Caenorhabditis elegans: one gene and its partner. The protein of the gene in region 1 purifies or fractionates together with the protein of each later gene. This does not show direct contact. Each region holds a gene or a part of one and is shown on either strand. Other genes may lie near its edges.

Region 1 (4,736 bases):
TTACATTTTTTGTTCCAAACCATTCTAACCAAGGTACTAGAGACAATAATTTATGTTTTTGTTGCAATCGATATGTGATAGGGGAGTATATATAGTTCATTGAAAACATTAAATGATTTAACAGTGAAGTTTAGCACTTCTCCTCGATGATGGCTTCCTTGACAAGCATAAGGGTTGGAACTTCGGTTCCATCAACATCTCTGTACTCGATGATGGCGACTTGACCGTTCTCAGCTCCCTCAGCGGCTCTCTCTCCAATGAAGAAGGCGAGGTTCTTGAAGCGATCCTTGGCGAGAAGGCTGACAACCCATCCTTGAATCTTCTTCTTGAAGGCATCGACATCAGCCTTATCACGGTTGTTCTTCTCCATGTGGTCGATGACGTTCTTCATGAATTTCTTGATGTATGCCTTGAACATACTGGCATCCTCGTAGCAGTTCATCTCAACGAGCTTGTGGTTAAGGACAATATCGATACCACGCTCGACGTGCTCGTCAGATCCATCATCCTCGGCTCCTTCCTCAGCAGATGGGTTGGATCCAGCCAAAACGATCTCTCCTTCCTTGCGGACAACGTGCTTTCCCTTGAATTCGTAAACAAGATCATCAACCAACTTCATTGGGAAGGAGTCGGACGAGAGCTCATCATCTGAAATTGTTCGACAATCATTATCAATCTATAAACAAACAGCATCACATCTACGGCAAAGTTCACAGAACAAAATTTGATCGTCATCCATTTACCACACGTAACTCGCCAATTTGACACCCATGACTATACAAATTAGGGCAACAATGAATTCACAGCAAAACGCAGCGAACTCATGAAGCGATCTAAAATGCACAATCACAGTCAAACTAGCTTAAGGAGTGTGGAAAACTTCTTCAGAAAAAGAAATCTTACCGGTGAAAATATCCTTGTAGATCAGCATTTTTGAAGGATGGGGCCAGTAACTGAAATTACGAGATTAAAAATTCAAACAAGAAACAAAAAAATAGAGATATAGTTAAGTGTTCGATAACACCACAAAGAAAAGTAATTAAAAACGCTTTTTTTGGAGATAACATTTCATTAACAACAAATTCAGAACAACTTGTGGATTTAGTCGAAGAGACCGAATCCCATGTCGTCGTCGGATTCCTCCTTTGGCTCTTCCTTCTTGGCGGCTGGAGCAGCAGCAGCTGGGGCAGCGGCGGCAGCTGGAGCAGCAGCAGCGAACTTGCTTGGGTCGGCAATGAAGGCCTTGATGGTCTCGGCCTCCTTGAAGGAGACATCGGTGACGGCAGCAACTCCCAACATGTTTTGAAGTCCGTTGGCCAAAGAGTGGGCGACGGAAGCGAGAGTTGGGTAGTTGACGGCCAACGAGACGGAAGCGACATTGCGAACTCCAGAAAGGAAACGCTTGCGGAGCTCCTCGGTGGTCATGTCCAAAACTTCTGGAGTGTAGAGGGTTCCATCATCGTAAACTTGGCGAACGACCAATCCATATGAGAACGGAGTAACTCCCAACATGTTGAGAAGAGCAGATTCGGAAGCTCCGACCTTATCTCCTTCCTTGATGAGATGGACCTAAAATGAAAACATTACAATATACTATTAAAAATGAAAACTAACGTCGTTCAAGATTTCGATGGTACCTCTGGCGATCTTGGTTGGGATCTGAAGAGCCTGGAAGAAAGAGGTCTTTTCTGGTCCCATTCCAGTGTTCTGTGGTGGAAGCTTGACGTCGCATGGAGCGATGGCACCAGCCTTGGCTGGGGCTCCTTTACGGTTTTCCAAAAGCTTGGAGCGGATTTCTCCGAGATCTTCCTTGGTGAAAACGAATCCGACGTTCTCGACGATGTGTGGCAACAACTTCTCAAGGGATGGATTCTTTCCGAGGTGTCCACGAAGAGCCTTACGGATCATGGTGTTCTTTCCCATAAGGATCTCAGCATGTCCTGAAAATTACGATTTAAAGGAATTGAGAATATTAAAAATAGTAACCTCTCATGGCTTGACGAATCTCTTGCATTTGCTTGGATCCAACGTTGTCAACGCCGACGAGAAGGCATTTTGGGTATTCCTCGAAAAGCTCGACAAGCTTGGTGAAGTAGTTAGCCTTCCAAGTAGATCTGTCTTCCCTAACCATCTTGGTGAATTAAGGATCGCGTGCGGTTACGTTTTAAAGACTGAAAAAATAAATTATATTAAAACTGAGGTCTGAAAATGTACAATTTTGAAAATCGGTGGTTTTAGTGCAACAGAATTGAACGGATTCACATTTTTGAATATAAATTAATCAAATTTTGAAAAAATCGATCACATTTTCAACAAGGAAAAGGAAAAACAGTGAAAAAATTTTAGGAACACTGAATGTTTCGCCTCTCAACAACAGAAAATGTGTTTCGTCACGAGACCCTCAAGGCGGCAGCAGCCATGCGCCTTTAACTTTTCTCGTAAATCGACACCAGAATTATCATTAATTTTGTTGAAAGTGGAGGGAAAACCTCCAAATCATGATATTTCTAAATAAAAAACAGAGAAATTATTGATTAATTTCAACACCAATTAAAATATTCGAGTCCGGTGATGTCAAAATCAGAAAATCGGTGTATATACTTCTACATTTAATCAGTTTTCTTTTTAGAATGATTTCGCTCGTCGCCGAGCTCGGTTCTAATATAAATTTTTTTGAATACTGTAACTCCTGGTTGGGAATATTAGATATGATCATTTATAAGGGTGCGGACGTATTGAATGTGTGGCGCTTTCAAAAATGTATAAAAGAACGACAAATAATTTATTGAAATAGCTGAACATCGCAAATAAAGTTACTTTACACCATAAGAAACAAGAGACAAAAAACCAGGAAAGAATAATTTCTTCAAAGCGATGTGATAACTTGATCGAGCTCTTCGTTCGACACTCTTGTGAATTCTCCGATTGGACGCCCCTTCGCGTCAACTGTTGGTTTGATAACAACGACTTCGACATTGGCGGAGTTCAGTTTCTCTTCCATCACCTGCTTGAGAATGGCCAATGCCATCTTGAGTCCTTCCTTGATAGTCAGAGCCTGAAATAAAATACATTTTCCTGTATAACCATATTTGACGAAATTACATCATGATATTGCTCCTTGAGATTCTGCTCAGCTCCATCGCTAGCTGCACCGATCGATTTAGCCTTACAATCGATGAAAGTTCCAGATGGATCGAGATGGAACAGTTTGGCTCCTTCTTGGTCTACACCAGCGAACAGCATTGCTACACCAAATGGACGAGACATTGATGCTTTGACGTCGTCGTCTCCAAACTGAAGAGCTAGATTGGCGACCGACTGAGTGACGTCTTCCACGCGAATTTTGCGGTTATAAGTGAACCAGAAATTTTGAGCCTCGATCTGTGCCCGTTCGACCAGAGTGCGCGAGTCGGCAATCAAACCTGCGAATGTGACGCCTGAAACAATTCTTATAAATTAAGATGATAAACAGTTCACAGAACTAACCAATATGTTGGTCGACCTTGCTGATTTTCTCGATCGCGTCATTGACCATCAGCTTCGATGTCGATCTTTTCTCAGCAGCGAGAAGAACACCTTCGCTCGTCTTGATTCCAATGCTTGTAGATCCGAGTTTGACGGCCTCAATAGCGTATTCCACTTGGAACAAACGCCCTTCTGGAGAAAAAGTGTTGACTCCACGATCGTACTCGCTGCGAGTGAGGAACATGACTGGCTGAAATGTAAATAAATTATATTCGAAGCAACATTGGACATATTGAAGCACAAAAAAATGGAAGAGGTGGGATAGTCGTCGCGAGTAAGAATGAAAAAGTTAAGAAGAAGAGAGCGAAAGGGCGCCAATGAGATTGCGAAGTCATCATCGCGTCGAGACCCAGTAAGCGATTAAAAGAAAGCGCCTTTAAAAACCTTTTACTACTGTAATTTCTGAAATCAATTTTTAAAATAAACGTTTTAGAAAAACACAAAAACAAGCTGAAAATAGGAAGTAACAGGTTGCAGTGAGATGCTGACAATTCGCGGCGTGCGCGTCGCGGTGTCTGCGTCTCTCGTGTTGGCGCGAAAGGCAGAATTTCGAAATGAAATTTTTAAAGAAAGTTTTATGATGAATATTAAATAGTTGGAATCAAAAGTAATTTGGGAATATGAAACTATTCAACACGTGAGATTTCCAATAACGTATCAAAGAGGGAAAATGAATATGAGACTCGCTTACTAATAGATTTTTCGTCTAGCTATATTTAACGCTAAAAGCTTTTAAAAAGCTCTATAGGAAAATAATCAAAGTGTCGGGAAATGTAAGTTCTTTGAATTGAATGGTTCTCATGTTTTTTTGTTGTATTTACAAAAATAACCAGTTAATTAATAATTATTTGTCAACATTTTTATATCCGCACCCGATAAAATCGAGAGAAATGAACGTTCATGAACAAATCTTTGCAAAAAAATGCAACAGAATGTGGAAACAGTGAAAATAAAACAGTTGTCCTGATAGTGAGAATCCCCGCGGCACCAATGACGAAGTTCGGAACAATTATATAGAAACTCTTCAATTCATGTTTATTATCCAAGTTTTTGTTTTGTGATTTAGTATATTATTCTAATTTGTGACACATTTATAACTGCTCAGAAGAGCAGGCCACTACGGCTCCAAAATTCATTGGCTCCGTGCGGTCATCAAGTCATTAGAGGACTGCTTCACGCTCGCGACCTGCCCGTCTCCCTTTCATCGCAGT
Region 2 (3,496 bases), 3.8 Mb from region 1:
TCCTTTGTCTGTAAGACTTTGGAGCTCCTAGATTGTCCTGGAATGATTTTCTTTCCGTTAGAGGCCAGTTACAATAGTTTCTAGTAAAGTTCAACAATTTTATTCCTGAAAGACTAATTCAGTTTAAATTTAACAGTTATTGGAATTTTAATTCAAATACTTTCGCAGTATTGAATCCGTAATGTTCCTTAATGACGTATCCTGGAAGTGAAAACTCGGCCAATTGATTTTTGGTGAACTTCGTTTTGTATCTGTAAACCGAATTTATGAGGTTATGAGAAACATTTTCTATTTGAAAATGAAATTGCAAAGTATTCACCGTTGCAAGTATTCGGATTCGGCTAGTGGATGACGATCGGGGTCACCAACAAGTACTCTGACCATATGTGCATCTTGAATTCTGTAGAATTTAATTATATGTTTTTGCACCAATTTTGAGATATTCCTACTTTTTAAGCCACGAAAAAAGAAGTTCAGCAAAGTCAGAATCGTAAAACATGTCACCTAGGAGAATGAATTTTCTGATATTTTTGGAGTCAGTGAAAAATTGAGTGGACATTCTTTCATTTTTATCATCTAAAAAATTGATCGAAGAGTATTGAATCTTTGAATCTCTTAAATTGTTCAGATGGAAATTGAGCTTCGTGGATAGAAGTGCATCTGAAATAAGTAGCTCATTCTACACTGATTAACTTCAATCTCAAAAACAAACATCTATCAATGTCGTTTGCTAGAATCTTCTTCGCTCCACAAATAGAAGCAGATATCGAGGCTGAACCACAGCCGGCGCCGAAGTCGACAATTTCTGATCCTTGAAACAAAGGTTTATTATCAAGAATGAACCTTGATAGGCCTTGGCCGCCAGGCCAATAGAATGCCCAATAGGGATCTGGAAGAGGACAAGCATCGGGAGTGCTCATCCACAGTGGACTAGCAATTGTAATAAGATGAAGATTGATTTCTGGAGTTAGACTTTCATTGCTAACTATTGTATTTCGAATCATCCATTTCGCAGCAGCATTTAGGCTGGGCTTCAACATGATCACTCTTTGATTGCTAAATGTAAATTCCGGATTGTTTGTTCGAGACTCAAAAATTAGATAAATTCATATAACGGCATTTTCCCCAAAGTTTCAAACAATTCTACATCGCGACTTTCGAGCAAATTTTTTTAAATCGTTCATTGAATGACGAATAACAACTTTAACAACACATTTAGTCGAAGAGACCGAAGCCCATGTCGTCGTCGGATTCCTCCTTTGGCTCCTCCTTCTTCTTCTCTTCGGCTGAAACATTTGAATTTAAAAAAAATAGGGATCTTCTGCGTACCCAGATAAAAAATTACTACTGCGGAGCACATAGTATTCAAAATCTCTTACTTGCTTAAATTTTTAAGTGACTCACGCCACCTGTACTGCTTCGAAATTTTAAATCGTGCTCCGCAATGGATTATTTTTAAATGTGGGTCATAATTAGTGAAACAAAACTTGCCTTTTGGTGCGGCTCCTCCTGATGGGGCGGCAGCAGCTGGGGCAGATCCGCCTGATGGGACCGAGCTGAGCTTGACCTTGCCCTGGGCGATAACCTCGGAGATAGTCTTTCCCTTGAGGGCATCGACGACGGAGTTGGCGTTCTCCATGTCGCAGTCGAGACCTCCGGCTTCTGCAATATAAGTATTTATATCGGAAAAACGTGATATAAAACTTACCGAGGACCTTAAGGACATCTTGTGCAGATGGGGAGGCATTTCCACCGAGGGTGGCGAGAAGATAAGCTCCCAAGTACTTCATGGCTGAAAATATAAGTTTAACAGGTCCAAAATTTTGATAAGAAAACAAAATAAGTTGTGAATAAACGTGTTCAGATAAAGAAGCTAGAAAAATAAGTTTGTAAAAAACTATTTATTTATTTTATCAAAAAGTTCCAATCAAAAGAAAAAATAAACCACTCCGACAAATTCGCGATGGAAGATAAATTCACTATGACTTCAGAAAACATTAATTCGTTATTTTCTGAACAAATTTTAAAGCACTATCATTTTAAACAAATTAATTTTTAAAAAAGGTGTAACAAACGGCCATTTTCAGTTAAAAACTCGAAAAAAGAGGCAAAAAATTTAGGATTTCATGAGTTTCGAAGGAGAAAAGAGAGTGCAGACACAGAAGTCTATCCGAGACGCCAGTTCGGGTACGGTATCACTCGTTTCACGTGTGCGATATTTTAATAATTGACCAATTTACGCAAATTGGCTCGATTTTCAGCCATTTTCAGCAAAGAGCACTTTCACGTCAGTTCTACTGTCTGATGCTTTATAAAAATTTGATAACTTAATACACTGCATTAAAGCATCATCTAAAAGTGAAGAATTCCGTTATCGATTTTTGAAGTCGAATCTGTAATGTAATTTACAATTTCAAAAGTTCCATATTTCATAGCTACATCTTTCTTTTATTAGTCTGTTATGTTGATATCTGCTTTTAAAAAAGCCTGAATGATTGCAGACATTGAGTAATCGGTTGAGTATCAAATCGACCGCGACGCGGTGGTGCTGCGTCGCGGTCGCGTTACGACCGTGAGTGTCCGCCGTTCTTTCGGAACCGCCGAACTGCCATGCGCAAACTACGTCATCAGGATAGTTTCTGATTTTCAGATATTCCATTTTTGACTTTTGGGTGCAAGAAGAACAGCTTTTCGACGTCCCTATCGCATTTCTCTACCAAAACTCCGCCCCATTATTGATTTTCCTTGCACTTTTCCCTTCAGGCAATTCAAATTTCGCGCCGTAGAAAACTAAAATACTTATCAGTTTTGGCTTAAATTTCAAAAAACTTTTTACAGTAAAGGAGAAACGAACTATTTATAATTCCCCAAGACTATATTTGTTAGAAAAATCTTCTTCGTTCAAAAGTTCTCTTAAGTAGATATCAAGTCGTTATAAATTGATTTTTATGCTATTTTGATTAAAATTCTCTGACTATGGTTTTTCGAATAATCTGATAATTGGTCCGACGAATTCAATTGTTATATTTGCAGAAAATTTCAGAAAAAATAGTTGGCGCTGAATGGTCGTGTCGGTCGATGCGGGGAGCAGCGTCTGCCTCAGCACATACTTCTTCTGCGGCTTCCTCAACGTGGTCCACAATTCCTCACTCACGTACACCGCCGCTTCAATCTAGTAAGCTTTGATTTAAAAATTGCAAAATGCACGTTAAATTTTCAAAAAAATTTCCTGAAAAACGAATTTTTGCTTTTTTTTGGATGAATTAATTTACTTCTCAAGATTAATTAGAATTTTTGAGATTTGCAATCTTAGATGTCGTGTAATTATATCAGACTTGCCGCTCAGCCATTTTATAAATTTCCAGACATCGAAAAGGTGGGAGATATTGTGCGACCGTCTTCAGCGACCGCACTGCTCTCCTCTCTGTCCACCTCATCGTCAGGCATCGGTGAGTCTCTTCGGAGTCCCAGTGCCGAGATATCAATGACTTCAGAA

What was found. Proteins that work in one complex are often made in the same cells at the same time.
Region 2: the proteins of rplp-0 (region 1) and rplp-2.1 purify together in Caenorhabditis elegans (affinity purification with mass spectrometry; 2 studies listed by BioGRID, with this or other methods). This does not show direct contact.

What each region holds. Positions count from the first base shown.
Region 1 is NC_003279.8:10,565,329-10,570,064, reverse strand, and holds rplp-0 (Large ribosomal subunit protein uL10), read right to left. Parts: upstream 2,172-4,736; 5' UTR 2,132-2,171; coding exon 1,987-2,131; intron 1,941-1,986; coding exon 1,615-1,940; intron 1,570-1,614; coding exon 1,102-1,569; 3' UTR 1,048-1,101; downstream 1-1,047. Other genes in the region: tct-1 (Translationally-controlled tumor protein homolog), read right to left, coding at 131-648, 904-931; pas-5 (Proteasome subunit alpha type-5), read right to left, coding at 2,867-3,055, 3,103-3,437, 3,487-3,709.
Region 2 is NC_003279.8:6,787,947-6,791,442, forward strand, and holds rplp-2.1 (Large ribosomal subunit protein P2), read right to left. Parts: upstream 1,793-3,496; 5' UTR 1,791-1,792; coding exon 1,709-1,790; intron 1,663-1,708; coding exon 1,492-1,662; intron 1,287-1,491; coding exon 1,216-1,286; 3' UTR 1,093-1,215; downstream 1-1,092. Other genes in the region: etfm-1 (Electron transfer flavoprotein beta subunit lysine methyltransferase homolog), read right to left, coding at 137-251, 320-400, 450-660, 713-1,040; pqn-20 (Prion-like-(Q/N-rich)-domain-bearing protein), read left to right, coding at 3,079-3,175, 3,366-3,449, 3,495-3,496.